Nothobranchius furzeri: one gene and its partners. The main gene of each other region encodes a partner of the protein of the gene in region 4 in a complex. Links are inferred from orthologs where the notes say so. Each region holds a gene or a part of one and is shown on either strand. Other genes may lie near its edges. The genes, in order: cnot1, cnot6a, cnot11 and cnot2.

Region 1 (7,849 bases), about 3.8 Mb from region 4:
TAACATTATGTTGATAAAATGTAGATACCGGACTTTAGTTCCAGCTTAGCCTTACCTGAAGCGGAATGCCATCAGATAGCCCAGAGTGGGTTCGCGCCATCATTCCTAGGACCCTGGCTACCTGGCTGGCTGTCACCTCTCTCACACCATACTGGAGGATTATGTTTCTGCATTCATCCAGACTGCAGAAACACACAACCACATTCCATCGTATTTAACACAAACACGTGTGCTTTATGATATACAAAATATTTTTTAAACTGCGCTTTTGATCTCCAGTTACTTCTGAAAACTTTAGTAGCCAGACAAAGTTATGTATTATGCTTTGGGGTCCTAACCAGCAGGTCAATAATAAACTATTTACTGCTCTTTTTACACGACTGGCAAAGATTTACATTAGGGATGCTGCAGCTGCGCAGCAACAGAGTCTGTGTGTTTAATGTGAATCACACATGCTCCAAAGCTTATTTCACCGTGTTCAGGACATGGTGGGTGTAGAAAGGATGTTAAAAACACTGCTAATAGTGACAGACGTAGCGGAAATATAAAAGAAGTAGAAAAAGAGAGGCCGAAACGTTTTTCCAAATACTGCAGCAGTCCAAGCAAGCCAATTTCTTCAATAATTCCATTTTAGTAGCTGTTACTCCAAAATTCCACTATCTCCGCTTCGCTCCGACACGAACTCCGCAGCAAAATCGGTCCCGTTGTAGTCAATCAGAGCTGATGCACTACTGCGGCCGTGCAGCGCAGTGCGCCGCCCGCCATTCGGCAAAAATAGGATCGATTCTATTTTTGCCGGACGCCGGAGCACCTCCGCAGTCAATGGACAAAAATCACAACCGCCCAACAGGAAAGGGAGCAAGCACAACTTCCGTTATTTCACAATAAATCGATAAACAAAAAGCGTTTTTTGTTTCATATGCACAGGTTTAACAACTTTTAACAACTATCAATGGCGGTTGAACTTTAAATGCACAAAAATAAGCCATAAATACAGTTTCTTCTATCAAAGTAGTCACCCTTTGTTGATCCAAACTCTGCTGATCTCTCTACACAAATGATGGGCAGATTAAACAGTTCATTTCGATGCTTCTCCCACACAACGGGTGTTTGGATCTAACTTCCGCGTTTATTGATCGGACTGTATCGCAAGATCTCGAAAATCCTGCGCATGCCTGTTTGCGCACCTTAGGTCTCCGCACCGGAGCGGATACCAGTAAAAATTGAGTTCGGAAGCGAGCGGCTGCGGAAGGCAGGGGCGGAGGTAGTGGAATTTTGGGGTTAGCAGAGCTCTGTGCGTTGTTGTGTGCATCAGTGACACTCGCTCTACCAGGAAATCACGCAATGACAAAGGTTTTACCTTGCTTGAAATGCAAGCTCTGATTAAATTAGGGATGCACCGATACGATACTGGTATCGGTACCGATACCAATAACAGTATTGGTATCGGTAAAAGTTAACCGATACCAATGCAGTTGCTTGAAAATGGCTTCACTGTAACTTGTCATTTCTGTTCACCTAATATTTTAGTTTTGTGATGATTTCCATTCATATATTTTACTTTTTATCTACCTCACAGTCTTTTCCTGTTGAAAGCAAAGAAGAAAATAAAATCTATTCCAAATCATTGCATTTTTGTGTGTGGTAGAAGTATCAGTATTGGTAATCGGTATCGGCGAGTACTCAGATCCAACTATCGGTATCGTATCGGTTTGGAAAAAAGTGTTATCGTTGCATCCCTAGATTAAATGCGTGAATTTTTTTAACGAGTAATCCCCCCCCCCAATTAATTAATCATAATTAATGTGTTAAAGTACCACCCCTAGTTTTAATACAACTAAAGTCAGACATTTAAACCATCTAGTTATGAAAACTCTACATTTTCAGTTACAATAAATCAGCATTTCAAAATCCATATTCTGAGAGCTGGTAGTGGTTTTATTCTGAGAGCTGGTAGTGGTTTAGCTGTGCTGATATGAATGCACTCACAATCAAACACTAAAACCATCAAATATTTTTGTCCTACAATTAACTGTAAATATTTATTACTGCAGACAAATAAAAAAAAATAACAAGAAGAGTTTTTAAACTCACCTAGCACAGAAGCCATAGCCAACTTCTTGAATAAAGTCTGCAAGAGAACTCTCCATCATGGTCTTAGCTAACTCTCCTGAGTCTGGTAGAATCCTGTCCATGAGAATGTCCCGTTTTTCAGGGTACAACAGTGGTGCGAGCACCACAGGGCAGCGCTCCTGGGGAAAATCTAGAGTCCAGCAAACACAGAGGTGTGGTACAGATTAGACATCCAGGAGTGATTTTTATCATTTCAATACCACGCAAGCTCAGTTTGACTCAGCTCCACCTGATTAAACACATCATACCTCGGCAAAGTGTCTTTAAGAAAGCGTCAATCTGCTCCTGTCCCACCCCACTGGCTCCCTTCTGTCCAAACAGTAGATGGGAGAGCAGCAGGTGCAACACTTCTATTGCAATGTCTTGGAAGCCACCTTCTTGGTTTCCTCCAAGGTCTGCGTCAACGTATGAGCGCAGTAGGTCTGGAAGTTTCTGCTTGATGAACTGTGCAGCTGCAAAACAAACTCCTCTTAACTAAAGTCCCAGTGGAAACTTGTTTTTTTGCAGCGTCTTTAAAATGTGTCAGCCTCTACAAGGCAACTTACCAAAACCACGAAGGTCTGTGTTGCTGGAGTTAAGCAAAGCAAGGCCAAATATTACCTAGAAAATGAAACAAATTAGGAAAACAAGAAATAAATAAAACTACTATTTTCAACTATTGTATAGGCAAAAAACCACAAATTTTCAGTCCATTACATAATTTGGAACCGCTTGCTTAATTTGGTTAATGATAAAATCTCAGCGCAGAGCCGACTTACCTCTTGGACCTTGCTGAGCTTAAGGACTTTACTCAGTTGAGTGAAGAGGTGGGCAGATGGCTTCAAACTCTGGAAGACAATATAAGAAAAATGTCTTTGTGAAGCTAAAAGTTAATCCCCTTTATTTACCCCTAAAGCACGCAGGGCTCTGCATAGAGACGGGTACACCATTATCGAGACAGAACTGTTGAACACTTTAATAAGCCGGGGGTGGGGGTGGGGTGGACAAAAAGAAAGATTATTTCATTTCACTGATGTGCACACATGCATGAAGTAAAACTTGATGTTCAATCTGCAAACATTCCAATGTTCTATCAACAACATCTTACCTTTTGATAGTGAAGGGGATTGTCAATGGCGTAGCACAGGGTAGCAATAAAGTTTGGCTTTGATATAAGCGAAACACACTCCTGGATCAGAAACTGTGTCTTGCAAAAAAACAAAAAGAGAAAAAGAAAGAGCACAAACAGATGAAGCTGGAACTTAATAAGTATTATCATACTAAAAGAGGTCTGTTCTCAGAGTGGATAAAGCAATGAATGTATAATTAGAAACATCCATCAAACATTTATGATCAAAAATTACCGGGTGAAAGTCCTTGCCACTGCTTTTACCATCGCCACTGAAATCCACATGGGAAAAGAGACAGCGTAGTAGATGCCTGTCTGCCTCAGGACCGTGACGATTTACAATCTGGAAAGGCACAAAATGTAGACAAGACTTTGTAATCCTCCTTCCAACATGGGATGTTCAGTTTTAAAACTGTGGATTAGTAAAATGTGGCTTCAATTTGTTTGTTTGGCTTCACTGCCTTGCTTTTTCCAACTGTTTTTATGATCTATGTGAATATTTCTGCCTATTTCAGTCAGTGACTTGATGCAACCTGCTAGGTTCCTTATATAGGAAACTGTTTTCTGATTGGCTTAATAAACTGACCTGTATTGGAATGTTTACTATGTTAAGTACCTTGAAACGACTCTTGTCGTGGTTTGGCGCTATACAAATAAACTTGAATTGTTTTATTAATTAATTTGGTCAGCTGTAATGGCGTGTTAAAAGCACTCTAAGTAGTATGGTAAGATCATTCAAACTACAAACCTTTAAAAGGCCTCTCCACGGTCTAAAATCAGAAATATGGTTAACTGGTCAAAACAGTGGGTCCACTTGTGTCTTGAATGTCAGTTTATATAGACCTCAGTCTAGGAGTAATGTTGGAAGAAGTACAACAGAAACATTTGTTTTGCCCTTTGCCCAACCAATTCCCAGTTAATTAAAGACGGATGAATCAAACTGTTGATAAGGATTCTTAAACCCATCGTGGGCGTTAGCCACCAACAGTCATGGGATTACAACAAAAAAAAAAAAACTGGAGAGATGATCTCAAACATATCAAAATAAATTTGAAGAATCAGATGACATGAACCATTTGGGACCTTTTAGACAGAAAAGCAAATGCTGTGTTTAATATTTCAGTTTGGATGTTAATCATGGAATTATTTGGACATAAAGGGCAAGCTGTGGTTGTTGACTGCACTAACAGGTCATCCAAGCAGTTTCTGTTTCATTTTATCAGTAAGTAAATTTATATTTCTGTACTTTAATTAGCTGGTTGAATGGGGGGAAATGCTGCGTCATTAACTACTTGGTCAAACATGTTAGTGGGGCTGCTGCTGGATAACCCCGGCTTTCCACGGGAGCCGTCAGCAGCACGTTACTGCAGCAGCACGTCATAGCTTCTCATAGGAACCGCTGTGGTCAACAGAACCTTTTCCACTAGAGCCGTCGGCAGCCGTCAGCAGCGCGAGTCGGCCGCGTCTCAGGAGCAGCATGTCGCGGCCTTTACGCGCCGGTTCTATTTTCTACGCGCGACGCCTCTGAAACGGGTCAAGTTCGACATTTTTGGGGAAGGAAAGACAGGAAATCGAACGCGGAAATGGGGAGAAGCTCCCGAGATTTTCAGAATAAAGAACGTACTGCCTTCCGGTTGCTTTACTTTTAAAAACAGTTACTAACTGTGCGGCCCCGTGAGAAGTTATCACCTAGCTAGCGGTCTCCTTTGTTTTTCAGGTCCGTATTGGCGATTATAAAACGGACAGAACATAAAACACAAACCATGTTGTAGTTTTCTCCTGCTTGTTGTTGTGTTTACTGACGAAGTCACTCGTGTGACTTCGTGCTCGGTCGGTGACAGCTGCTCCCCTGCTGCTTCGCGTCTCGTGGGAAGGGCCAAGCAGCAGCTTACGCGAGCAAGATCTGCTGCAGTAACGTGCTGCTGACGGCTCCCGTGGAAACCCGGGGTAAGAAACAAGCGGATGCCCATTTTCTGTCTCCTGCCCGAGACGAGTTGCTAGAGCAGGCGGCTGGCTGTTCCCGTTTCCCCGGGGCCGCCGACGCACGAAAAGCTCCGATGACAGGCTGTAGTCATGCTGGTCATTTGTGGATTTCTGAGGGAGATCACAGAAACACTGCAGCTTTTGTAGTTGATGCTGCTTTACTTTTGAGTCGCTCACCCGCATTTTTTTATCTCTAATAGTTTGCTGGTGCTTTTATTTTACACAACATGATGTGACATTTTAACAATTAAATTTAACTTGTGATTGTTTTAACTATGTGAAGCACATTGGGCTACCGTTTTGTGTATGAAATGGGCTATTTAATAAACTTGACTTGGTTGAATGGGGGAAAATTCAATGTGTTTACCATAACACTGCTTGGTCTAAAAGGGGTTGAAATCAGTTGAAATATAATGTGTTGGTGTGGCTGCTGGATATCAGACCGAGGATCGGGCTTTGCTGGTCCACTGCGGTGAAAGATCAGCTGTTCTCGTCTCTGGTTGAGAGCGGAACACGAAACCGTGAGCCGAGTACCAGAGCCGCGTGTGTTGACAACGGCGGACTCGCAGATTTTTGACCAGGGAGGACCAGCGAAGCCCAATATTCTCTGTCAGCTTACCTTGTTATGATTTTGTTACTAAGAAGGCCGGAGGTGACTTCACGTTGGAGTCGTTCTACCACGTGTTTAGCTTCTGGTTAGCATGTAGCTAAAGTCCCGCTGATCTCCGACCGTGGAGAATGAACTGATCTGAAAGGCTAGGGCTCCCAGTCGCAGCGGTCTGGCTCTGCTTGTAATGTAACAGTCCCAGTCCATATTAGAACTCCACAGGCGACCAGCAAGAATACAGCCTCACACTGAAGCTGGTCGGCTGTGCGGGTGGGCTGCCCCGCTGTCCCCTTCTTAACTTCTTGGGTTAGCTAAGTTAGCTAGAGTTGTTTAATTTGTTCCAACCCTGTTCCTAACGTAACAACCCCACCCTCAGCTCGACCTCTTCCCATTTTTGGATTGTCTGAGCGTGACTCGGTTAAAAAAAATCATTGGTGGGAACCTCCCATTTTTGGCTTCAACTTCCTCCCCCGACAGAGCAAGGATGGGCTACGTCCATAATTTTATAGGTCGATGATGGAAACAAGCGAAGAGGTAAATATGTAAAACAACGTTTATGAATGGCGAAAGTATTGTAACAATTTGTTACAGAACACTAGGGCTTCTTGATTATGGCAAAAATGTTAATCATGATTATTTTGACTGAAACTGAGATCTCGATTTTTAAGACAATTTTTTAATTAATGTTGATTTTATGTAGGGCTGCACAATATATCGAAAAATTATTGTCATCGCGATAACAGGACGTGCGATAGGCCCATCGCAAAGTACGTCAAAAACGGTGATAAATGTTTGATTCAAACATTTCCATCCGTGTCATACATCAACTTTTTGTAAACCAGCTCTGTTTTTTACGCAGAAGTATTATTTGACCAATCAAATGTAGCCCTTCTGATATGCGGCCAATCAGATGGGTCCGTTCACGTAATACGCCCGCCCCCCACGTAGACCCTTAGGATGGGTGGAACGCAACAACCAAACTGAGTTAGCGGCGCCGTTCCCTTGTTCGTCATGCTGGCTCAGATTAACGAATGCACTTTGTGCTGAGGTTTCTGGAATCAGCGCTGCTTTCAAACGTGAACGTGAGTCCGCTCGGTGTCGTTCAGCAGCTGATAATAACCGGGCTGACTCCCGACACGTGCCGGTGAACCAACCCACCTACCTCCATGTCGCTAGTGTTCCACCGGGTGGTGATGTTAGCCCCAGGCTCCGGTTAGCTGGAAGCTAACCGGAGTGGCTACAGCACTCTCCTCCCAGTCCCACCCTGCTAAAGAGGGCCTGGAAAAGTTCCCCCACACATCAAAGTGATTTTTCCTTTATGAGCTTTTATAACCTTGTTAGTCAGGATAGTTGATTTGCTGCTGCACATAAACTGTCAGTCAGAAGCTCTGCTAGCTGGTTATCTTAAGAGGAGCTAGTTTAATTTGTTAGCTTGTTATCAGAATCATAGTTGCAGTTTCATCATCTGAGCTGCTTTTTAAGATCTAGGTAAACATGCTCAATTTGGAGTTAAAACCAAACGTTTTCACATATTTTCCATGTAGTTTTTTTGCCAGTTCCTCTTCTGAAAGGTAGACATTTGGTTTTCTCTTTCCCTCAGAAAATCTTAATATTCTCCTAGTTTGGCCCAGCACAGTTCACTTCCCAATTGCAGCAACAGCCTTATATCATAACCACATAAGTGGAGAAAATGCGCAGAAGCAATGAGAGAATTTGCTGTTGCATTTAAGTGAGGTTAACTATTATTTAACATTTAAACTTATTTTCTGATTTTTTTATTTATTCAAAAAACCCTGGTAAGGGATGTTATTCTGTGTTTGGAGCATCAGAAAAAGTTTTATGGTGGAGGTGATGTTTTAAAGTCACTGAGAAACTGCATGCATGCAGTTTGTTGTTTTGCTGCTAATACAGTAGCAGGTGCAGCTGCTAATACAGTAGCAGGTGCAGCTGCTAATACAGTAGCAGGTGCAGCTGCATATTTTTGCAACAAAAATGTTATGTTGCAATGGAATTCATGC
Region 2 (7,849 bases), on a different chromosome or scaffold from region 4:
CCTAACAGGAAGTTTAGACACAGAGCCTTCTCAGCATACAGCTCTGGTGAAACAAATGGAAACATGAACCAAGGATGTTATCATAAGTCATTTGCATTCTCTAGCCCAGCAGGAGCCCACAGATCAAACCTGGACTTTACATGTGTGGACCTCTATACTGGCATTATTGTTAAAGCCTACAGCTGCAAGGTTAAAAAACAGTTGGTGTTCTTCTCATCATAATGCGCTTGTGTCATTTTCTGCAGGGTCAGATAACTTGATTTTCCTGACAGGAAGTTGCCAACAACAGAACTAAATTACCACTATAGGATGGGCGATGGAATGATAGCAGGCATATGAGAACGGTTCGATAGCAACATTGTTATAGAGAAGAGATGAACAACCAATCAAATCAAGCGTTACCAATGCTGGACTAGGGTTGTCACGGTAACCGGTGTAGCAGTAAACCCCGGTAAAAAAGTTGACAATAATAATAACCGTCTTGTTTTAAAAAAAAAATATTATCTCGGTGGATTACCGTGGCTGCGGTGTAGGCGTGGTGACCCTTACCAGCCACCGTATCATCTGCTGAAGTTGCTGGTGGCACATGCACACTTTGTTGTTTACAACCAAAACTTTCTTGACGCTAAAGCTGAAATAATGGCCAAAGGAGGAGACGGTAGTGCTCAGAACATTTATTATCCCTCAAAGAAGACAAGGTGGGAAGTACGGGCATCTTTTGGATATTTGAAGAATGCAGAGGGACAGTTGATAGAAGACAGCTATCCTGTTTGCAGCACGTGCAGAAAAAGTGTCTGTGAAAGGCAGCAACGCTTCAAATCTCATGACACATCTGCGTGACCATCACCCACAACTCTACAGTCAACACAAGGCAAGCTAACGTTAGCGTTTTAGCTAAAATGCGTGATCCGAGGATTTGGGTTGAGGGAGAATGCAACGAGTCGCTATATAATGCAGCCGCAGCGCTGCTACTTGCATATAAACCGTGTCGCGGACACCCCCATGTTGAAATGACGCTATGCATGATATAGGGTTTATTACTCAAGTAAGGGTAAAAAAAAAGTATCTGATTAGAAGGCTACTTGAGTACTGAGTATCATCTGATCTAATATTTTTAAAATGATGGCATCAAACAGACAAAAAATAAGACGTTATGGGCAAATATTGGTATTTTAAAGACTAAAGGGAAAAAATGTAAACAAATAAACAACATAATAACAAAATAACAAATTTTAGGCTAAATTTAGACACAAACTGAGGGCAATATTTTCCTGACATACAGGGTTTATTTAGTTGCCTGAAAATGTAACACGTTTAAAAAAAATACTGCGATAATACCGAAAACCGTGATAACTTTGGTCACAATATCCGCGAGGTTAAAATTTCACACCGTCACTACTCTGCGCTGGACCAATCAAGTGGCTGAAACAGAGCGAAACACAGAAAGCAGCAATTAGTAGCCGTTATAGTGGATGGTATGTTTCCACCAGCCGTGAAGAATCGCGTTTTGTAAGCATCACAGAAACATAGGGACACGCTGTTTGTGCATCGACTCTATTTTTTACACACTATTCTTTGAGAAGGCTTCAAACTCAGCAGTTCATACCAGGCCAGACTAGGGTTGTCACGGTGTGAAAATTTAACCTCACGGTTATTGTGACCAAAATTACCACGGTTTTCGGTATTATTGCGGTATTTTTTTTTAAACGTGCTACATTTTCACACAATTAAATAAAACCCTGTATGTCAGGAAATATTGTCCTCAGTTTGTGTCTAAATTTAGCCTAAAATGTGTTATTTTGTAATTATGTTGTTTATTTGTTTACATTTTTCCCCTTTAGTCTTGAAAATACCAATATTTGCCCATAACTTCTTATTTTATGTCTTTTTGATGTCATCATTTTAAAAATATTAGATCAGATGATACTCAGTACTCAAGTAGCCTTCTAATCAGATACTTTTTACCCTTACTTGAGTAATAAACCCTAGATCAGGAAAATATTGTCCTCGGTTTGTGTCCTTCCAGTGAGCTTTGCAGATTTGGGAAAATGTCATCAGGCAGTAATCGTTGTTAAATTCATAATTATTCTCGGAGAGAGACCAACTCTTATCTGCCCCTGGGAGCCCCGTAATGCATAGCATCATTTCAATATGGCGGTGTCCGCGACACGGTTTATATGCAGGTAGCGGCGGTGCGGCTGCTTTATATAGCGACTCGTTTCATTCTCCCTCAACCCAAATCCTCGGATCACACATTTTAGCTAAAACGCTAACGTTAGCTTGCCTTTCGTTGACTGTAGCGTTGTGGGTGATGGTCACGCAGATGTGTCATGAGATTTGAAGTGTTGCTGCCGGATAGCCGTCTTCTATCAACTGTCTCTCAGCATTCTTCAAATATCCAAAAGATGCCCATACTTCCGACTTTGTCTTCTTTGAGGGATAATAAATGTCCTGAGTGCTGCCGTCTCCTCCTTTGGCCATTATTTCAGCTTTAGCTTCAAGAAAGTTTTGGTTGTAAACAACAAAGTGCGCATGTCCCACGGGCAACTTCAGCAGATGATACGGTGGCTGGTAAGGGTCACCGCGCCTACACCGCAGCCACGGTAATCCACCGAGATAATATAGTTTTTTTTAAAACAAGACGGTTATCATTATTGTCAACTTTTTTTACAGGGGTTTACCGCTACACCGGTTACCGTGACAACCCTAGGCCAGACAGGAACTGAAACACAAAAATGGTGTAAAACATCTAATCCCCCCAGGAAACCCCCTCCTCACCAGTCAAAAATCCGAAACCCAAAGTGCTTTTACCAAAACAAAAGAACCAATCCTGATTCTTGGCAACGTAATGAAACTGATGGACCCCCCCCCCCCCCCCCCAAAAAAAAAGAAAAAGCACAAATAAAACAATATTGACCTTTGATCCCTGATCAAACTGAACATGATTACACTTTGATCAATCGTTCTACAATACAAGCAGCTGCAAAACAAGCCACAGTTTTGCCAACACACTGTCCATAAAACATTTATTTGACTAAAAATCACATTATGAACATCTTGTAATCCTAGTTACAAAGTCTTAATGAATTCTTGGATATTATCTTACCTGCAAACTGATGATGTCTGCGTTGCAGCCGAGGATTTCCTGCATGATGGACTTCTTCCTGTACTCCCAGTTTAGAGCCCAGGTCGGGCAGTAGCCATAGAGCTGCCTCGTGGCGTATTTATCACACAGCACGTTATAGCACATGACCGAGAAGAGAGCTAAGGAACACAGACAGGAAAAATTTCACTCGTTCACGTGTTTCTGAAGCTGACAGCAACCTTAAACACTCCCTTCTAAGGCGTTGTCTTGCTTTAGTTATTAAATCATAATCAGATGGGTTTTATTTGGTGAAATTACTAGTTCCACCCATCAGTAGCAGTGAGTTAACCAAAACACAGGAAAAAGACTTCGACTCATCATGAAACCCCATCGGTGCAGCGTCCTCATTTACCACGAGAGTTACAGAGATCACACTACGTCGCTGGTTTTAGAATGAAAACGGTTAAAACTACAAACAGTACAATATATATTTAAACCAAAATACTATATATTATCAAAAAATATTTGTAGTTTCAAAATATTTGTAGTAGGAGAAGGAGGTTATCATTTTTGGGGGAAATATTTCAAATTTAAGGAGTTACACACCGACATCTTTTCTATCTGCGTCTGGAAGAATCATTTAAGAGGGGCTGAAGGAATGTTTAAAGGTGCAATCTGTAAGAATGACATCTAGCGGACAAATGTGGGTACTGGGGTTCATTTTTTTGGCAAAAACATCACGTTCTCACTGCCGTTCTGTGAGTTTCATGGCTGTTGCCGTTTAATGACGAGCACCAGAAGATTCTAGATGACGAGCGAAGACGAGTCATACACAGAAAGTGGATAAGTTGATGAATACATTGTCATATCTGGTGTTAGCATTCCTGGGTGTTTTATGGCAGGGAGCACTTACTACACTTATTATGGTAGTTTGTTTCAGTTATTACAGGAAGTGTGGTTGTGTGCATTCTTGCTGTTAGCCTGCCGTTAAAAGTTCTGAGCAACTCATTAAAGGAAGAAAAACTCAATTACTCACTTCACACATACATTTCACTGTAACATCAAGTTATTGGTAATTGAAAAAGTAGCTTGAGATATTTTTGAGCTGACTATTTGCTCCTTATTCATCGTTAGCATTGTTAGCTCAATAATAAACTCTAGCCTGCTTTACTCAACATTAAGCCCCCTTCAGACAGGCCATGAAAAACGGAAATGTTCCGGAATCTGTCCGTAAGACCTTTCTGTCTGAATACAAACATCCGGATAATGTGTTCCGGAATTTATCCGGACGAAGCCCCTAGTAACAGGTCCGGACTTGTTACGGACAGGGTGGCTGATTCAGACTGGTGAGGTAAAGTTCCGGACAAGAGGGAGGGGGAGGAGGAGGGGACCGGGGGACGCTGTGCGCACCTAGATAGCCCGCTGCTGTAGCATGCGGCGATCAACGGCAGCTCGCCTCCTACGGTACCGTCTAGACGCGCGAGGGAGCGCTTCACACCGCTTCAGTGATTCCTTTAACCATTGAGCTTCATCATCCAGGTCTCTTATGCGTCTTCGTGTGCGCAGAATTATGCTTAAGCGCCTCGTGATTTTTATCTTGAGAGGCGCTGTAGAAATGATATTTTCTTCTTCTTCTTCTTCTTCTTCTTAACATGAGTCCGATCACCCCCCCACCACCACCACCCCCCGCCGCCGTCAGACATCTGGAACTTTTCCCTGCTGTGTGAACGCAGCCGAAAGGACAAGTTCCGGTACAAAAGTGGTGTGTCTGAAAACACAGTTCCGGTTAAAAACCGGATTGAATTGTCCGCAAATGTTCCAGAATGTCTGTCTGAAAAGGGCTTTAGAGTACAACTAAAGGATGCAGTAGCTTCTTAGGGGTCGCACTTGTTTACTGGCTTTATTCAGTTCTTTTAACAACTCTGGAGCACTGTGTTGAATTACAAATGCCTGGGATGCTGGGTTAGCTCACTGCAGACTTGGCAACCTCACAAACTCACCGAATAAAGTCTGCTGCACACGAGAGCAAACGGCCTCAAATGGTCATTTGCTCAGCAGATACCTCCCTGTGTGCGCCTGATTTTCAAAGAGTTTTCAGCCTCACGAGACGCTGAGGTGAATATCTGACCGGTTTGATATTTTCCGCCTCACAGGGGGTAAAAACTCGCTGTGTGCGCACTACGTGTGCTGCTGGCTGAGCTGAAATATTCTAGTGGCCAATCAAAGCGCATTCTCTGCTCACATGATTCCAAGATGTATTCAGATGTGGCCCCTGCCCTGTCTGAGTGTCAGAAAAATAAACGAAACAGTGCCTTGCAGATCGATGGGCCCACTGTTTCCACTACCCCCTCAAAGGATTCAGGATCCAGGCTGTGGTACTGTCGGAAGCATTCTGGGTCTTCAAGACACATCTCTTGGAGTAGATTGGTATAAACTCCTTGCCTGGCCCTGCTTTACAGCCACCGTACACATACTATCCTAACCTTGAAATGACGGTGGTGGCGATGCCTCATAAACAAAAAAAGTAGAGGTATTTCCTCCGTTTCCAGCTACGTCTTCGTTTTGTTTATTTTCTGACATGCAGACAAGGGGCTGCCATCTTGGGGTCATGTGAGTGGAGAACGTGCTTTGATTGGCCACTAGAATATTTCAGCTCAGCCAGCAGCTCACTTAGTGCGCACACGGTGAGTTTTTACCCCCCCGAGGGGGTCAGATATTCACCTCAGCGTCTCGTGAGGTGGAAAATGCGCACACAGCGAGGTATCTGCTGAGCGAACGGTCATTCGAGGCCCCTTGCTCAGCAGTTGGCTCTCGTGTGCGGCAGGTTCTAAGTGACGTCCCCATTTTGTTTTGTCTTTTTAAAGGAGAAAATCTGACAACACCCCAGCCAGCGGAGAATTAAATCTGTTTCATTGTAACCTTCCTTTCAGTGTGATTGAGACATTAAACTGTTTTGGGCTGCCTAGTGGTGCAGTTGTTAGCACTGTTGCCTTGCAGCAAGAAGGTTGCAGGTTCGAAACTCGGCTACAGCCTTTCTGCGTGGAGTTGCGTGTTCTCCCCATGCATGCGTGGGTTTCCTCCGGGTACTCCGGTTTCCCCCACAGATCACAACATGCCCTATAGGTTATAAGTTGTACATTGCTTTGGATGAAAGCGTCTGCTAAATAAATAAACAAACATTATTTCACTGTGGAACTCTTACATAATGCTGCTTTAATGACGGATCAGTGAAAAAGAAGCAGCTTTTACTAAATATTTAGAAAAAAGCTTCTGAATATCACGGGTGCAATCATGATGGTACGGGTGTATGTATACTATTCACAAACACCTGTACCATCATACACATAAAACTATTAATTGTAATTATCATTGTGCAAACATTTACACAGATATAAAGTAACAGAAGAGGATGAGGAAGATTTAGGTTAGTTAAGTCTGATGAGGAAGTGGCAGTGAGCAAGTTTGTGCTTCTTTTGATCCCTTTTCAGGTTTGTGATTGACCATGTCATTCTTTGATTCTTATACTTGTTTTGTTTTTCTGTTTTTATTTAGTATTTAAAATACTTACAAATGGAACTGCATACTCAGAATAAAACAGATTACTACAACTATCACTACTTCTGGGTATTATTTACTGCCGCGATAAAATCTTCTAATCAAATATCTGCATTAGCTTTACTGACCGTGAATAATGTTTGCTAGCGTTCTTGTATTTAGGCGTTTAACCGTATAGCCTGCAAATCGCTTCCAGCTGCTTCAGAACAGTGCTGAGAAAACATCCTCTCCTGCATCTATAGCCAAAACTTAAATAACTATTAAATATATTTAAAACATAACCTACTTCTGTGAGAGGAAAGGAGGTGTGTGTGTGTGTGGGTGGGTGTTCTTACTTGACGGACGTGTTCGGTCGGGTTCCTGAAGAGAGATCCACGATCGGGCAGGGGGCTGCTCGGTTGGTACTGTGTGGAGGAAAAGACGGTTCAGTAAAAGCCCTTAAACGCTTCTCCTATCCAGTATCCTCTTCTCTTCCCAGGCGTAGGAAAGCTGAAATTCCTGTTCAGCCTTACAACGACGGCAGAGGGCTGATACTCACTGCGCTTGATAGCTCCTGCCAGATTGTCTAACAAGTAGCTGAGCAGTCTCCGTGTGCCATCGGGTTCCTGGTAGAGGCTCATAATATCTTGTGCAAGTGGGTTTCCTAAGAAACACAGAAATCAGCTGTAAAAACAGCAGAGAAATAAATAAATGGGCTTTGAGGACTGAAGCCACTCACCTTTTAACCCCAGTGTCTGTAACTGAAACAGTTTTCCCAGTTCAAAGGGGAGAACTCGCAACTGGTTGTTATTTAAAAGCAATTCCCTGCCGAGGACAAACAGGAGTCAGGTTATTTACAAACACTTCAGAAAACAGCAACACTTTCACTGCAGTTTTTACATCCAGGTTTACAATTAAAAACTTCTCAGTGGCCTGATGGTAGAGGTCTGCCCCGGGACTGGGAGATCGGGGGTCAAACCAAAAACTTGTGCCTCCCTGCTTTAAGGGGTTGGGTTGGGGGTTAAACCACCAAAGAGTTCCCGAGCGCAGCCACTGCTGCAGCTTACTGCTCTCCACGGGGATGAGTCAAATGCAGAGATGCACTTCACCCGTGTGTGAGGATGACTTAGGGACTTTAACTTTAAAAACAAACACGACTCATTAAGTCTTTCAAATGAAAACAAAGACACTGAAAGGGGAAAATCTGCAACAGAATAATAAAAAACACCT
Region 3 (8,443 bases), on a different chromosome or scaffold from region 4:
ACAAAAAATTATAACTAGGTAAGCTGACCGAGGACATCGGGCTTCGCTGGTCCACCGTGGTCCAAGATCTGTGGCCAGCTCTGGGAGAATTCATGAGAAGAGATTTTGTGTCACTGCTGAATCTAATCTTATCTAACCTAATCCAATCTAGGTCAATGGTTCTGAGAAGAAAGAAAATGAAACATTTATTTAAACATGTTGTTTTAATGGAAAACAACAACAAAAAAACCCTGGAGGAACATTATTTCTTTACATTAGAGCAGAAGAAGGTGAGGCTGTAGGTGGAGGGGAGTCCCAAGAGTTCAGTCCACATATGTACAGGATCTTCTCTGGCTGAGCGGCTCCTCTGATGACGGGAACGCTAGCAGTGTTGATCCATCTCGCTTTATTTGGCGGGTTTGACCTCAGACGGGTTTTCTCCTGTATCCAGAGTCTTAAGGAGGCGGAAGAGGCCGGCGGCTTCCCGGATGCGGCTGAATTCAATGCAGAAGGCCTGGACCTCGATAAAAAGGTCCTGGACGTTGATGATCTTGTTTCGGATCAGCGACTGGAGAAAGACACAGACCAGTCGTACCAGCCGGTTCTAGGAGAGACAGACATGGTGTCATCAGACCGGGATATTATAACGTTACACAGTTTACTGTTGTGCTGCTGAAGCTCCAGTCAGAAAAATCCGTTACCTGCATGTATTTGTCTTTGATCTGTTCACAGGTGGAGATGCAGTTGGAGATGTAGAGGTGGATGAACTCTGGGGGCAGGTCAACAGCTGTGGTCAGTCTGATGGAGGTGGGAAACAGAAACACAATGAAGAGAGTTAGAGCTCTGACCTCAGCCTGCTGAGCTGTAACAGACAATCATCTCATCTGAAGATGATTCAGGGTTAAAGAATCCATTCAAATATCAGGTCTCAACATAAAACACCGCAGAAACAAGTACAGCGGTAAAACACAAACCATGCAGGTCAAGAGTTGGAACAACGGGACAGTGACAGCCCCCCACACAACAGCAAGACCCCGTGTCTCACACAGGAAACTCACAAAAGACACTTTAGCCGAGCCCTCACCTGTTGACCACCTCCATGGAGTGCAGGGACATGTCCATGTTCACCAGGACTGAGAAATACTCTGTGATCTGGCTGCTCTGCATCAGCTTCAGCAGCATCTCGATGGCCACCAGCGGGTTGTTCTCCACCAGGTCCGGCAGCTTGGCCGGGCTCAGCCCGATGTGATAAACCAGCTTCGGATCCTTCTCCAGCTCAGCCAGCAGCTGCTTACACAGGTGGAAGAGACGGTGAGGAGGACAACCACGGTGTTTATATGATCCAGCGCTCCTGGGAGTCCAGGACCCACCTGAGACTGCTGCTGAGCTGACAGCGGGCTCTTGAAGGCCTTGGACATGATCCGTTTGATCTCCAAGCCGGTGCTGTTCTTCACACACATCGAGCGATCCCACTGGATGCTGTGATCCGGCTCGGTGGGGTTCAGCCACACCAGCTCATCCTCACACACGTGGAGAGGCGGCGGAGGCCGGATGAACTCGGGCCGGAAGTGACCTGAAAAACAAACAGGTGGTGATGCGTTCTGAAGCTGATGCGGTAACCATGACAACCCAAGCAGAATCTTTACACACCACAGCTTTAAGGAGCTCTGAACACGTGTAACTTCGTCTTGACCTTCCTTAACCTCCTCAGGCACTCGGCAGGAAGCGTGAATAAACAAACTCTAGGTTCTCCTAATCTGTTCTGAAGAAATAAAAGTGAAAATGAAGACCACTTACTCTCCAGGGGAGGCCGCGGTCCTGTGACCAGAGACTCTATGATCTGATTGGCTACGGAGCTGTCGAACCCTGAGTTGGAGGAGTCTGGGTCTGGGTCATTCAGGATGCTGGGGAAGCTGGCTTTACTCTGAGTGGGAAGCTCCGACTGGCGCTCTGTTAGACCAAGGAGCAGACATGGAAACGGGTCAGGGGCTGAAGGTGAGAGCGACACGACCATCCTGGTACGAGCGTGTAATAACGTACGTAAACACGCTCACCATCAACCAATGTTCTCACCTGACTTACAAATGACGTGTTAAACATTAGCTCCTTGTTTGGAGCAGAACTATACACGACGTAATGGTGAGGTGCTTAAAGAGCGGACATGATGAACCAGGACAATGATGATAAATGACCCACACTTATTTAGTGCCATGAGTCAGAGGACTCCAAAGCGCTTTACACTACAGTGCGTCATTCACACACACGTTCACACACTGATGGTGATGAGCTACAGTGTAGCTACAGCTACCCGGGCGGTGAGCCGGGACAACCCTCTGATTACTGGACAACCCGCTCTACTTCCATGTAACATGTTTTATACGTGTTTTGTGCTCGATCAGCGCCTCAACTCGAAACGCATCCAGCTCCTGGTTTTATTTCAGCGGCTCTGGCCCACAGTTGCTTGTTTGCAATTCCTTTTCTGATGCTGGTGTAGGTATCAGATCCGCTCAGGGACCTGCGCCTGTTGATGACATCACACCACAGCAACACCACTGGAACAAACTACATTGCAACTCATTCTTTAACTACCTAAGTGCTAAAAACAACAACAGACTCTACCAACAAAACAGCTCATATATGTGATTGTTTTACACTGTATTATTAACACCTGCAGCTGTTGGTGTTGAATTCTTCTACTTCATTTGTTTGTATCCTGTTCATGTGCTGCAAACTGTCCAGGTGTCATCTATGTTTATGTCTATGGTGTGTGTGTGTGTGCTGCAGCACACGATCACTGTGAAAGCAGGGAGAGGGATGCCCAAAATGCCTGGGACAATTATTACATTAACTGATGGGACCTGTCACTGATTAGTTTAGAGATAAGTTTCTCAGGCTGATAAAAAATAAATCATCTCTGAGTGACGCGCCGCTGCCGTACACTCTCCCACAGCACCGCTGGAGGGGACTAAATAACCATTATGCAACATATGTGGGCGACGGTGGCACAGGAGTTAAGTGCTTGCCCCATAACTGGAAGGTTGCAGGTTCGAGCCCCGCTCAGTTTGTTGCTGTCGTTGTGTCCTTGGGCAAGACACTTAACCCCCCTTGCCTGCTGGTGGTGGTCGGAGGCACCGTGGCACCAGTGCTCGGCAGCCTCGCCTCTGTCAGTGCGCCCCAGGGCAGCTGTGGCTACGTCGTAGCTCATCCCCACCAGTGTGTGAATGGGTGAATGACTGATGGCGTTGTAAAGCGCCTTGGACTCCCAGGACTCTAGAAGGCACTATATCAAATACAGGCCATATTTTTACCATATGTTTCGATTTATTTTAGATTATAAGTGCACCGTATAACTCTTAGTCAGTATTTGCAAAATATTTATATCAAGTTGGTATTAAGTAGGCTTAAATAAGTTAAACCTCAGCCTGAACCGGGGGTAGGCAACCCGTTAGGTGGGTCTGGATGGAGCGAGTCTGGTCTCGAACGGGCGGTGTAGTGTTCACGTATAAATCCGAGCGACTTCTCAGGAACGCAGAAATCCCCGAGCCTGTGGGCGGTGATTAATACGCGCGGGAAAGTCCGCGGTGTCCTCCATAATAAGGTAAACAAAGGCGGGCACGAGCTGTGTTGCTTTTGGAGACTCTGAACCACATTAGTTTATTAATTTTCTGTGTGTGTCCTCATAATCTTATGCCACACACACACATATGCACACACTGCTTTCTCCCCTGAGCAGCTGTCTACTCACTGGGGCAAGAGCTCTGATGCAGAGGACAGGCACACACACACACACACCCCGACCTGCTAATGCGAGCTGCAGCCCACTGATGTCGATGGGCTGGGGCATGTTGGTGATGTCCATGCAGGACACCTGTCTGGGTGTTTTCTTGAAGAGGTCTCTGGGTGGTGCCAACATCAGCTGGGACAGGAAGAACTTCTCTGGCTGGGTGATAGGCGGCAGGAAGCCTGAACACAAAATCACCACAGGTAACAGGTGGGGCTGAATTCATCTCCTTAGATACGTAGATTTTCAGTAAATGTGCAGGAGCAGTATTAGCAACTTGTATTTCCTGCCATTCCTCTCATAGACGTATGGGACTCCATCATGGACTTTGATGTGTTTATATTTGTGTTACCAGTATACAATGGCAATGAATGGATTTCATTAATGCCGGATTATTTAGTCCTACCGGACAGCGCCTTCTCCTGCTCCTCTCCTGCCGGAGCCGGGTTCAGGACGTGGGCAAAGACAGCAGCGAACGGGTTGGCGGCCAGGGGCTCCGTCCGGTACATCTCCCACAGCAGGTAGAGGGCGGTGAGCCGCTGCGGGGAGCTGGGCAGCAGGTCCGGCTGCTGGAGAAGCATGACTAGCACCGAGCCCACCCGGAAGTGCTCTGCTTTGCCAAAGTAATGATGGAAGTGAGTGGAAAGAGTCTCGAAGGAGTTGGAGCAGGCCTCCTCCGAGATGATGCTCAGCAGGTTGGACAGTTCCTTCGGAGCTAGGCTCATCGTCTCCTCCGGTTCTGTTCAGCTGCGGGGAAGTTCTGCTCCGTTTTTAAAACTAGTTATTGTTGGAAAAATACCGGGACAAGACGTGCTAATCCATGGTTGTGAAGTGAATCAGAAAGTCAACGATATTAGCATCCTGGAGTTGTGTTAGCCTCCACTTAGCTTAGCTTAGCGTTTTCCAGGACTCAGCTTTTGGTCTGACTTATTTTCAACAATAATTGACTATTTAACAACAAAACAATCTTAACGAACAAGCAATTAGCGACAAAATAAACTCCAAAAGCAATATAAGTGCCTGTTATGGCTGTAAAAGTAGGTTCTTAATGTGCCGCACTACCCGTTTAAATTTCTTGTGACCTTTACCTCGAGGTGCACTGTGGGTAATGGAGTTTCCACGTGTTCCTTCGTCTGACCGAGCAGACTCTTCTCCGGCTGTTAAACATTATAGAGCTCTCCCTGCTGGAAGGAGTGCTCCAGTGCAGCCAGACCTCCTCCTCCTCCTCCTTCTACAGCCAGCCTGGTGGCTCATGGAAACCCAGACCTGATCTACAGCAGCAACCACCTGGACAGACAGATCCTCCAGGCCTTCAGGAGCTCCCAGTGGGTTTGAGAACTGGAACCTGTGGCGGCGGCATGGATCCCAGCTGCTTTACTTTACAGATTAATGAGATTTTCTTGTAAATGTTTGTGTTTATTTGTCGTTCTTTGGGATGACAAGTGGCTCTGTGCAGCTCTGGACTGTTTGGACTTCCTTCCTGACCAGCCGGTGGTGGAACTGAGCAGGGAGCTTCATTTCTGCTTCCTTCAAGAAAAGGAGAGCTGCGACCCAGAACCAGCAGGAGGAGGCAAGTCCTTCAGTCAAAAGAGTTGTGGCTTTGTTTTAAAAGCACAGCTATGATGCTTTTTACATTATAGTTATTAAAATCGATGCATTTGAGGAAATGAGTAAAACAAACGTAGGAAGTTAAATCCAAAGAAAATATGAAGCTCCAAGCTGTTGGCTAAAATAATAATTTTTATTAATGTTGCAGGTGATTTTTATATCATTCTGGTAGTGAAATGAAGGGAGGCTGTGATTATTTCCTATAAACCACACTCAGATGGGTAGCTATGTTCTTGTAACTAGGGATGTCCCCTTCCGATATTGGTATCGGATATCGGCCCAAAAAAACCGTATCAGATTATATCGGACTGCATCAAAAATCTCCAATATAAGCAGTCTGTTCTGCTTTAAATTCCATTACAGCAATTCTATCCAGCAGCGTCCAGATCCAGCGTGCAAAGTCCACGTGATCAGAAAAGTGTTTGCTAGCAAGGAGCAATGTCGGCCATCTGGCAGTAGTTTTTGTTAAAGTCCAAAAAAGACAGTTTGGCTCAGTGCAACACTTGTCATGCACAAGCTTCCAAAGATTGAACAGAACCGGGGAAGTTTTATACGTCGTCCCCCCTCGATGTGCATTTGAATCAGGATCACAAACCATTACGTGAGGATTTTCGCTGTGTGTAAAATTAAACTTTAGACCGGGGGTATGCGTTTCTGGGACAGGAGGTTCGGTATCCTGCACGTTTTAGTGGTTTCTCTGATTCAACACACTTGATTCACCTGTGCAGCAGCTCATCAGGCTCTGCAGAAACCTTTTAATTACCTGCTGATTAAAATCAGGTGTGTTGAAACAGTAAAAACTAAAACGTGCTGGATACCGGACCTCCAGGCCCAGAATTGAATACCCCTGCTTTAAACACAACTTGTAGCAGTTGGTCAGCGAACAATATTGTGTTTTTTTCCTTATGTCTCTTCCCTCAGCTGTTCACATTTATGCAACCAAAGGTTATTAAAAAGTCACTTGATTAAGCCTTTTCTACATTCCACAATATGAAATAGGTAAAAGTGTGTATGTGCTGATATCATATCGGATTGATATCGGTATCGGTCAATACTGAAGGCTGCAATATCGGTATCATATCGGAAGTGGAAAAAGTTGTATCGGGACCTCCCTACTTGTAACCATATTTAAACATAATTTCTTTTATGTCCTGAAAAGCAAAGATTTAGTAACTCTGTACACCCACCATGAACCCACCATAGTCCAGTTCTATAAAACAAACTGGACTATGGAATGATCTGCCCATCTCAATCCACCAGTCACCTGTTGTGGTTTTTAAATCCACTTTAATGATCTGGCTTTTAAGTCATGAATCTGAACTGGGTTACATTTTAGCCTTTAGAGCTTTTATCAATATTAATTGATCCACGAATCACCATTGTGTAATATTTTAGCTTTATTTAGTGTTTTATTAGTATTATCTGGTGTCATTGACTGTTTTAATTGGCCGATTGGGCGTTTTTTGTTTTATTTTCATGTTTTATTCCGTGTTGTGATGTCTTGTTGATCTTGTATAATTGTTGTACATGGCGCTCTACGCACCATGAGGAGTCCTACTTATCCTGGAAAAATAGTCTTGTGCTTTATAAAAATAAGCCTCGACAAACTAGAACTGCTATTATTAATAATAATAATCCTAAATTTCTTTTCAGTACAGTTGCCAAACTTACACAGAATCATAGCTCTGAACCATCTATTCCCTTAGCCCTCAGCAGCAACGACTTTATGGGATTTTTTACAAGTAAAATTAATTCTATTAGAAACAAAATCTTTAGCATGGGGTGGGGTGGGGGGGTGGGGTTGTGGATGCCCAATTATGTCCCCCTCCTAAAGTAGGTAGTTGTGCCCCGGTTTGGATAAATAGTTATTTTGTTTAATTTAGTCGTTATTTTGTTTTTGACTTTCCTCATTAGATTTATTACCACCATTTGGGCTTGTTTAGTAAATAGCCGTTGGGTTTTGTCTTCTTTAAATCTATTGGATTTTGTGTGATGTTGGGTAAGAATCTGGTTTTAATTATTCTGTTTTGGTTTAATTGGTCATTTGCTTCAGTACCTCCCTGAGGCTTATTTCCTCAGGTGTTTTAAGTGAATCCTTTAGTCATTTGCATGTTTTGTTTATACTTATTTTGTTTAACCAAATAAAAACATTGTTTTTCTCCCTTAGTTATTCCAATAAGGACTGAGAATTTGTGTTTTGCCTTTTGTTAATAAAGCACAGATAATTTTTGTATGTCTCGCTCTCACATCTACTCCCCTCTGCACAGCGACTTTCACCCTCAGGGGTGTAACATGAAGGCTAACAGACTTTATTAACCATTTATTCCAAAACACTGACTTAGATGACACTTTTTATTCATGAAAATTACAACATGCTTTTGTAAAACCTTACCAAGATGGCACAGCACAAGCTGCAGCCAGTTACAGCAGCTCTTACGTCTTTTCTTTCTTTTTTATTGTCTGCTTGTCTTGTGTTGCATGTTTTTAATGCTGTTATTGGGGGCACATGTCCCCTGAACCGCACCATCCACAGGAGGACTTTTTAGTGATTTGTGTAAAATTTTTTTACTGCTTTCTAAACTTGGTGGGAACGCACTGGGAAATTCCTCCGGCTCCATCCATGAACCTATTGTTTACACCAGGGATCAGCTGTTGGCGCTGTGGACACCGGCGCTCATCTCCACAGAAGAGCCGACTCTGCCTCCAGAATTAAGGAGGAAACGAACGTGACTAGAATGGGTATGACGAACAAGTTGTGTTATTATTAAACGGTGACTTTTCTATTGCTACCTGGACCTTATTTCTACTATGCAATACGTTCATTTACTCACCCAGAAAACTTTGGTGCTGTTTGGGGTTCGAGAAAAATCCATCTACGATCGACATATATCCATGATGGGAGCTGCTGTGGCAGCAGTGCTGCCTCTAAATAAGGCATTATCTGCCACCAAAGTCCTGTTACCCTGCCAGTTTGGAGTGTCTCGGACGTTCTTTGTTTTAGTATCAGTGGTCCTTTATAGTCGTTTAGTGAAACTAGCCAGTGGTGATTTCAGTGACGTCACGACCGTTCCCTAA
Region 4 (7,502 bases):
GTTTGACTCTCTGCACTGGTTCCAAGCGGTCCGAGACAAATACAGGAAGGAGCTGAGCACGGTGGTGAAGGAGCAGAACGTCCAGTCAGCCGGTCAGGATGAGAAGCTGCTGCAGACGATGAATCTCACCCAGAAGAGGCTCGACTTCTATCTGCGGGTTCGTCTGTTGTATTTCAAATGTGGAGTAAAATATCTTAAAGAATGTGAGATTCTTTATTTTTTTTCCTTTTGATCCCAGGAGTTTGAGCTGCTTTACTTCTCATTGAGCAGCGCACGGATCTTCTTCAGAGCTGACAAAACCGCAGCCGAGGAAACTCGAGGTTTGAGATGCAGATATTTTGTCTTTAGTGAGGATTTAGACTGGGCATCAGAAGTTACAGGTGTAAATCACTGAAAACCCTTTTTTTAATTATTATTTGTGATTAAAATAGGTCACTGAGTTTTTCATGCAGGCTGAACATGAAAATAGTCTACACTGATCTCCTGCATTAGCTTCTGGTGGAAAATAGACGGTGAAACTCTAGGATTAGAAAATCCTGACAGATCTACGTCACACTGTCACATAACATTCATGGACTCACCCATCTTGACTCAAGATGGGGAAGGTTGTTGTTGGTTTAGCGTCCAGGAAACGGCAGAGAACGTCTCGGTCGGTAGAAGCTAACTGTTAGCATTAGCGACTCCGCCACATGGCAGAACTCCTTCTAGCTTGTGTTATTTGTGGAGGTAAAACATCCACATTGCAAGTCAGTGGCAGAGTTGTGTAGTGGTTATCCAATCCGGGGCGAGATGTCCAAATACCAGAAAATAAGACTTCAAAACCTGCCGTCTGAAGCTCAGCTGTGATGTGGGTTGCTGTTAGTTCCTGGAAATGGTGCATTTTTTTCCCCAGCAAGAATGAGTTACAATGCATTAATTTCTACTAGAGCAGCAGTAGCTCAGGTGGTAGAGCGGGTTGCCTCATGATCGGAGGGTCATGGGTTCGATTCCAGCTCCCGCCAGGGGTATCCTGCTATTGTGTCCTTGGGCAAGACACTTCACCCAACTTGCCTGTGTTAGTGGTGGTCAGAGGGGCCGACGGCACCAAATGGCAGCCTCGCCTCTGTCAGACCTCCCCAGGGTGGCTGTGGCTACAAGTAGCTTACCATCACTAGCAGTGTGTGAATGTGAGAGTGTGTGAAAGCGTCTTTGGGTGTCTAGAAAAGCGCTATATAAGTTCATTGCATTATTATTATTATTATTATTATTATTACTAGAGACCATTGCAGATGTATTAACTCATTCACTGCCAGCCGTTTCTGCCTGCCAGCATTTTTGCTGTTAGTTGAAGAGTAACAGAATATTGTGCTCTATGACCATGTGAACACCAAAAAACAGAGTAGACTCACTTCTTACATCAGGAAAAATCTGTGCTTGTTGCTTTTTCTGTTCTTTCACAATACATTGGCCAAGTGTGAGCGGCAGAAGCTTCTCCCGTTGGCGCCTCGCGCTTTTCACAGCAGCGTCCCAAAACAATCTCCTAGTTCATGTATTTTCTGCTGATCACGTGACGTGTGGCACACATGGATGGAGATCGCCTTTAGAGCTGTGATGTTTACTCTCAAGGCGCAGGAGCTCCTTCCAAAGCCCACCCCATTAAAAACAGTAATTAAATGTAGTGAATGAGTTCAACGAGTGAACCGCACCTTCAATGCTTTTATGTTTTTCATCAGAGGATGCTGGGAAAGCGGGAGTTTCATCGGAGGGCTCCACGGCTCCTGAACCACCCTCCAAGTGAAAACCTTCCCTTCTGACTGGATCAGAACTATTAAAGTGTTGCCGGGTAAAAATCAGCCTGCAGCTAAAGCAACACAAACTGCACAAAAGATTTCAGGATGAAGAACTGGAGAGCGCCCAGAGAAGCTGCTGGGTGTTTTTATATCCCACAAAGTCATCTCCAGAGAAGATTGTAGTTTAGTTATCAGCTGCAATATCTGCTATTTTGTAAAGTTCCACTTCTGTAGCAAATCGTTTAAGGTTTGCCTGAATGTTTTCCTAATATTTTATGTTTGTGCCAAATGTAAGTGCTGTTTCTTTTAACATTTTAAACACTGAATAAATGTGGGTGCCTTATGAACTGTGCATCATTTTGATCATTCGACTTAACTGTACTCTAAAGTTAAAGATGGTTAAGTTTTAGTTTTCTGCTGCTTTGGAGCCTTTTAATATATTTCTTTGAATGTGTGGAAACATTAACTTTGTCATTAAACCTTTTTATTCGTAACAAAAACGTCCTCGTTTTTTTTTTTTTTTTTTTTTTTAGCGACCTGAGAATTTTGTGTCGAGAATGTTGTTGAAATTTGGTTCGTTTGTGAAAATGCAGCTTTTAAAAAATAACACCGGTCTAATGAATGTAAAATATCTGCATAGTGGTCGTGATTTAGCTCATAAATAAAAAAAAAACTTTAAAATCTCAAAAGTAATAAACATGACACGGTGGTTCAGGAAAGCCTGTTCTGCTTTAATACAAAGAAAAGAAGCGTTTCACTTAAAATAATACAAGATTGGGTTTATTTTTTCCTTTTTTTTAGCAAATTGCCAGTTTATCATTTCCCTATGAAATGTCCTCGTTCATGTCTGTTCAGGTTAAATTGAAATGCATCCCTTTTACTTTTAACTTTTTTTTTTTGCCAAATGTTGAGAAGTCGGCCTTTCCATGAAGGAGTTTGTTTTTAGGTAAGTATGGCGCCAAACGGCAGCAGATCCAGAACATTTCTGTTACATCCACATTTTCTTTTCCATGTTCATCTCATTAAAAAAACCGAGGTACAAGGCAGGGCTTTTTTTTTCTCCAAAATAGATGTCATATATATATATACACATACATATATATATATAGCAATCATATATACACATTCATACATACATGTACTAATTTGTGTGATGCAAAGAACAAAAATGTACACTTTTCTTACAAAATCGTAACAAAGACTGGAAAGTGTTTGTTTGCTCTTGAGCAAAGTTGGTGTTAAAGTTCAGCCGCGGCGAGAAATCCTCCACAAATGTAGACTCTCGTATTTCTGTCCTTGTTTGGTCGGCACAGAAGTCAAAAGACGGAGACGAACGGAGAAAGAAGGAACAGAAAAATGGTTGGTAGTGCAAATACAGACGCTGGAGAAACGATGGATACAGACAGAGGGCTAAAAAAGATGGAATTAAAAGGACTGCATGAGGGAATGATGCGTAAACTCAAGAAATACAGAAAGAAGGGGAAAGAAAAAACACTCGGGGAGTGTTCATATAAAAAAGCACAAAAAATTTTGTGTTCTTTTATTACTAAATATAGTGCAACAATAAACATTGCATTTCTTTCACCCCTTCACTTGTGTATGAGAATGCTAACAGCCTTGTTTTCCACCTGCTTGTGTTCTTAACACTTGCTGTAAATAAGAGGTGGAACCTCTGTTCTGTCCCCGTCCCGTGCCACAAAGTTAGTCCTCCTCGCCGAGAGGACGCAGGCTTCTGATTCAGAGACGTAAACAAAACACAGACCCTGCTCAAAACAAGAGAAAGGAAAAAAAACAAAACAACCTGAAACACAGAGTAATAAAAACGGAACAAGTGTTTTGGGGTAGAATTTAAGTTCAGAAAGGCAGGACAGCTTTAATGGTGATCACAACCCCTGCAGTCTAACAGCCAAATCCTGGAGGAATAAAAACCACAGCGCCGGTGCTGGGCGTCAGCTCTGTGTGCAGGAACAGCTGCTTGGGCCTCAGAAGGCCTGCTGGGCTGGATTGTAGTTGAACGTCGTCGGAACGTGAGGCCTCTCTTCTAGCTTGTCGTACTCCAGATGAAATTCCTGAGAGATTTGGGCAGAGTTTAGACTAATCCACAACCAGTACAAAAAAAAAAAAACACTCTCAACTTAGCAGGTCTTACCTTGGCAACTTTCCTCCAGTTAAGACAATCAAAGAAGTAGTAGGTGCCCCTCTCGTAGGTGTTGGTCTTGAGTGTGGGCTCCATGCCGGGTGCTCTTGTTATCCAAACCCGCTCCTCTTTGTGGTACCTCCAGTCCCGATTAAAGCTGGAGACGGGAGAGTAAGAGAATCCGGATTCAGTCCCTGAGAACATCACATCTCCTGATCCCTCTCGTTTTGGATGTTCGGTGTAATAAAGGCCTACTTACAGCTCTACTGCTGCCAGGATCTGTAGTAGATCGCCACCATTCATGTAGTACAGGTAGAACAGCAGGTCTTCACCATACCGGGCCAACTTAATCGCCGCCAACTAGAGACAAGACGGTAAGGAATGTTAGTTTAATGCTAATAAAAGTGTAAAAGTGCTATAGTCGTGCAGCTGTGCATCACCTTGTCCCTTATATGAATGTTGGTCAGATACTCCGAAGGAACGTGGAAGTCTGGAAGCACAGGTACAAGTTACGCTGTTTGCCTTTTGAGTTAAAGCGGCACTGACAATCTGTCTTACCGATGTCCTGAGGTCGACATGGTGACGAGGCCCAGGGAGAGGCAAACTTGGGGTACAAGTTTCTATTGAAGAGAGAAGGCTTAAAATCAGGAGAAGCACACATCCTTAAAAACAAAAACACTTTGCTCTGGACCCCCAAAGCTTGGTTTACGCTTGACGCATTCACTTTCCACGCGGTGATGCGGCTCGCGGATGGAACGCGCTTCACAACTCGCAGCGTGTATGGTTCATGCGGCTTGTCTCTGCGGTGAGCCAATATTCTCCCAAACTGAACGGAGCAGCGTGGAGCTCTAGGCATGCATCCAATACTACACCATAGAAGTAAAAATTACTGTTTACAACATGGCATTCCAGCATTTTTAACAGCGTCCTCGTCTTTTCCGACAGTGCGAGCTATTTCTCTCCAAGAATTTTTAACAACATGTTGATCACGGTGATCTCTGAGAGCTGAATCATACAAATGTCTGTATTTACGAACCTCTGCCATACTAGTTCTTGCCGGTCCGCCATGTTTTTCCGCGTCCGTCCGTCCACGTGGTTAGAAATTTTCCGAGGTGCGCGTTGCGGAAATCTTGACCCGTGCGGAGACGCGGTGGAGGGGCGTGGTTGTTAAAATGACGCAACTTCTCCGCGCGTAGTCGTACGGACCTCGCGGACGCGTCAAGCATAAACCAACCTTAAAGGCGAGCGTTTCTGTGGAGGAACAGCTCTTACTCTGGTGAGTTGAGATTGAGTCCCAGCGTGGTGAGGTCATTTCCTAGCGCCAGATGGACCAACCCCGGATCGGTCTCCGCTGCTCGTATAAACGTCAGCAGACCGATCATCCCAAACTGATCCGTCACCATTCCTGAGGGAATGTTGGTAACCCGACCTGCAGCGGCAGAACCATCCAGACTCAGTAAACCACACATCTACCGATGGACTCTGATCTACAGCAAATACTCACTGTGGAACCAAATCCTTATTTCTAGACTCATTTGTGCACACATCGCAGAGCAAACAATTACACCGTCTCATAGTAGCTTATCCAATACTGATTTAACCCAAAATACAGGGGAGAGAGCCCAACTGCCTCACCCAAGCTGTGTGATTAAGAAGGGATGTCTCAGAGGAACTGGAGCGATACGATTGGCTGTGAAGTCTCACCATCTGGTAACACCTTGATGCCTTTCTTCTGGTTGTTGTTCTGTGCGGAGGCCGTCTTGTCTCCGGGGAACTTGGGCCCATCTGTGCTGGACGTGCTCTTGTTTGTGGAGTTCAAGTTCTAAAAACGGAGAAGAGAAACATAAAACTCTGCGGGAAAGGTTCCTGATCGGCGCCCCGACACAAACGCAGAAACGAGAATGCTCACTTACAGTTTTACTGTCGTCGTTGTTCAGTGTGGTGTCCTTATAGTTCGACCCAGGCAGCGCAGGAAAGTCCTCGTTATGGATGGAGAAATCTTGTGTCTGTTCAGTTGATGGCTTTGTCACCATGCCAACTTAACGATTTCCCAGAGTAAAACAGTCACATAAGTGACAGCACAACTCCAACAGAAGCAACTAGTTCCACTGCTGAGATGACAAATCTTTAGGGGATAATTGGCTTACCGTATGGAGCACGTCCAGCTAGCGGGTTGGACACCGGTGTTGGATTTCCCGTCCCTTCCCGTCGACTCCTGTCTGCTAATGCGGGGAAGTCTGACAGATCCAGTCCCATCACGCTGTCGCTCCCATCTGCAACAGCATGTTAACACACTCTCTATAGTAATACGTACTAATCGCTACTGCAGCAAATAAAAACCATACATTTTGTCTTTAAGATTGATAAAATGCATACATTTATTCTTTTGTTTTCATTTTTGTGCTGCTCAGATTTAAAACCAGACTTTAACATAAACACATTCTACTGCAGAGCCAGCAGTTGTTCACTAACTCCACTGCAACATGAAGCTCCGTGACACTTTGCAGCCTTTCGAAATTCAAAAGAAACTACCCACCTGTGCCGTTGAAGATGTTGCTTGCTAACGCGTTGTTCATCCCAAACGCCTGATTGCGGTTCATACCAAACCCTGACATGCTGCACGGAGAAGATAAAAGACCGGTTCTTCAGCCGGTGTCCACAGAGGGATGTTGATAAACGTAAGGATTTTAAAATCTACCTGCTTATGGTGCACAGCTGACGTGACGGCTGCTGTTTGGGCATACAGATGATGCTAGGTGAGCTGCGGTTGGGGCTCCCGAGTCCTGAGCTGCTCATACTATTGGTCCTGCTGCTCAGCCCGATGCCTTGACCAACCTGAGAGTGATTTAGTATGTTCCTGGAACTCATCGGTAACGTGCCTCTGCAAAAACACATTTAAGAATGAACATTTTGTTGCAATTTTACAATTATTAGTAGCAGAAACACAAACCTGCTCGGCGACGGCGGGGTATGGAGTGACATGGTGGGGACGCCTGTTGTTGGGGTGATATGACTTGGTAGCTGCGACCCTTGCGTGAGATTTCGGTTTAACTGAGGTGTGCTGTTTCCCAAGCTTCTAACGGGGAAGCCAATTGCACCTGGACAAAAAAAAGAACCAAGTTAATCCAAAATAATATTAAATAATCCAGACAGAATTCTTTGCATTGTATGATCAGTCCACGTCTACTACTGATCTGTAACAAATGTGAAACTAGTTCATTCTGTGGTACAAATAGAACAGCAAATACTAACTTTGTGGACCGTACAAACTTGGACCGAGCTGTGACAGCTGACCAGACGACGGTGAAGGAGAAGACAGTATCTGGACAATAAGATTCACAAACAAGAAAAATAATCAGAAAAACTCCCCATCAGATAACATGACCACACAGAAATATGACGAGACTTACATCTTTGTCGGATCGATGTGGGAACATCGACCCCTGGCTGTAATACATTTCATCTGGGAAGTCATTGTCGACGGCCTCGACGAACTCTGGAAATTTCTTTCTAGCACCAAACATGCCTTTTGTCACCTAAAGAATGAGGGAACTTTAGTAAAGGTGGAGACTAAAGGGGGCAAAATAAATGAGACA

What was found.
Region 1: the proteins of cnot2 (region 4) and cnot1 are in contact, whole or in part, in a crystal structure (PDB 5FU7), measured with the Homo sapiens proteins. The link is inferred for Nothobranchius furzeri from reciprocal best matches to the Homo sapiens genes CNOT2 and CNOT1. Residues at the interface, in NP_001186231.1 of Homo sapiens: Met350, Val351, Asp353, Gln354, Phe355, Gly356, Met357, Ile358, Gly359, Leu360, Leu361, Phe363, Ile364, Arg365, Gly372, Met373, Val374, Leu376, Ala377, Leu378, Gly379, Ser380, Asp381, Leu382, Leu385, Leu387, Asn388, Leu389, Ser391, Glu393; in NP_057368.3 of Homo sapiens: His1864, Ser1865, Ala1866, Ala1867, Arg1870, Asp1871, Gln1917, Pro1921, Ala1923, Pro1925, Ala2003, Tyr2036, Leu2039, Glu2040, Ser2043, Arg2045, Ile2048, Ala2049, Ala2053, His2054, Leu2079, Leu2084, Lys2086, Gln2089, Ile2090, Leu2091, Tyr2092, Lys2093, Gly2094, Leu2096.
Region 2: cnot2 (region 4) and cnot6a share a complex: the UniProt entries of both Homo sapiens proteins name them as parts of the CCR4-NOT complex. The link is inferred for Nothobranchius furzeri from reciprocal best matches to the Homo sapiens genes CNOT2 and CNOT6.
Region 3: cnot2 (region 4) and cnot11 share a complex: the UniProt entries of both Homo sapiens proteins name them as parts of the CCR4-NOT complex. The link is inferred for Nothobranchius furzeri from reciprocal best matches to the Homo sapiens genes CNOT2 and CNOT11.

Annotation. Positions count from the first base shown.
Region 1 is NC_091744.1:81,571,263-81,579,111, reverse strand, and holds part of cnot1 (CCR4-NOT transcription complex subunit 1), read right to left. Parts: intron 3,585-7,849; coding exon 3,477-3,584; intron 3,320-3,476; coding exon 3,221-3,319; intron 2,961-3,220; coding exon 2,892-2,960; intron 2,734-2,891; coding exon 2,679-2,733; intron 2,586-2,678; coding exon 2,382-2,585; intron 2,264-2,381; coding exon 2,095-2,263; intron 183-2,094; coding exon 56-182; intron 1-55.
Region 2 is NC_091741.1:95,563,799-95,571,647, forward strand, and holds part of cnot6a (CCR4-NOT transcription complex subunit 6a), read right to left. Parts: intron 7,445-7,849; coding exon 7,359-7,444; intron 7,284-7,358; coding exon 7,179-7,283; intron 7,045-7,178; coding exon 6,976-7,044; intron 3,265-6,975; coding exon 3,107-3,264; intron 1-3,106. UniProt on the Homo sapiens protein: Poly(A) nuclease with 3'-5' RNase activity.
Region 3 is NC_091754.1:35,252,654-35,261,096, reverse strand, and holds cnot11 (CCR4-NOT transcription complex subunit 11), read right to left. Parts: upstream 4,677-8,443; 5' UTR 4,486-4,676; coding exon 4,167-4,485; intron 3,943-4,166; coding exon 3,778-3,942; intron 1,930-3,777; coding exon 1,777-1,929; intron 1,553-1,776; coding exon 1,350-1,552; intron 1,267-1,349; coding exon 1,064-1,266; intron 778-1,063; coding exon 681-777; intron 584-680; coding exon 386-583; 3' UTR 185-385; downstream 1-184. UniProt on the Homo sapiens protein: Component of the CCR4-NOT complex which is one of the major cellular mRNA deadenylases and is linked to various cellular processes including bulk mRNA degradation, miRNA-mediated repression, translational repression during translational initiation and general transcription regulation.
Region 4 is NC_091744.1:77,741,139-77,748,640, reverse strand, and holds the end of cnot2 (CCR4-NOT transcription complex subunit 2), read right to left. Parts: intron 7,443-7,502; 5' UTR 7,431-7,442; coding exon 7,317-7,430; intron 7,229-7,316; coding exon 7,159-7,228; intron 7,005-7,158; coding exon 6,857-7,004; intron 6,788-6,856; coding exon 6,605-6,787; intron 6,523-6,604; coding exon 6,443-6,522; intron 6,180-6,442; coding exon 6,054-6,179; intron 5,945-6,053; coding exon 5,820-5,944; intron 5,729-5,819; coding exon 5,611-5,728; intron 5,336-5,610; coding exon 5,179-5,335; intron 4,527-5,178; coding exon 4,465-4,526; intron 4,397-4,464; coding exon 4,347-4,396; intron 4,267-4,346; coding exon 4,166-4,266; intron 4,064-4,165; coding exon 3,919-4,063; intron 3,839-3,918; coding exon 3,752-3,838; 3' UTR 3,275-3,751; downstream 1-3,274. Other genes in the region: washc4 (WASH complex subunit 4), read left to right, coding at 1-157, 239-320, 1,713-1,777. UniProt on the Homo sapiens protein: Component of the CCR4-NOT complex which is one of the major cellular mRNA deadenylases and is linked to various cellular processes including bulk mRNA degradation, miRNA-mediated repression, translational repression during translational initiation and general transcription regulation.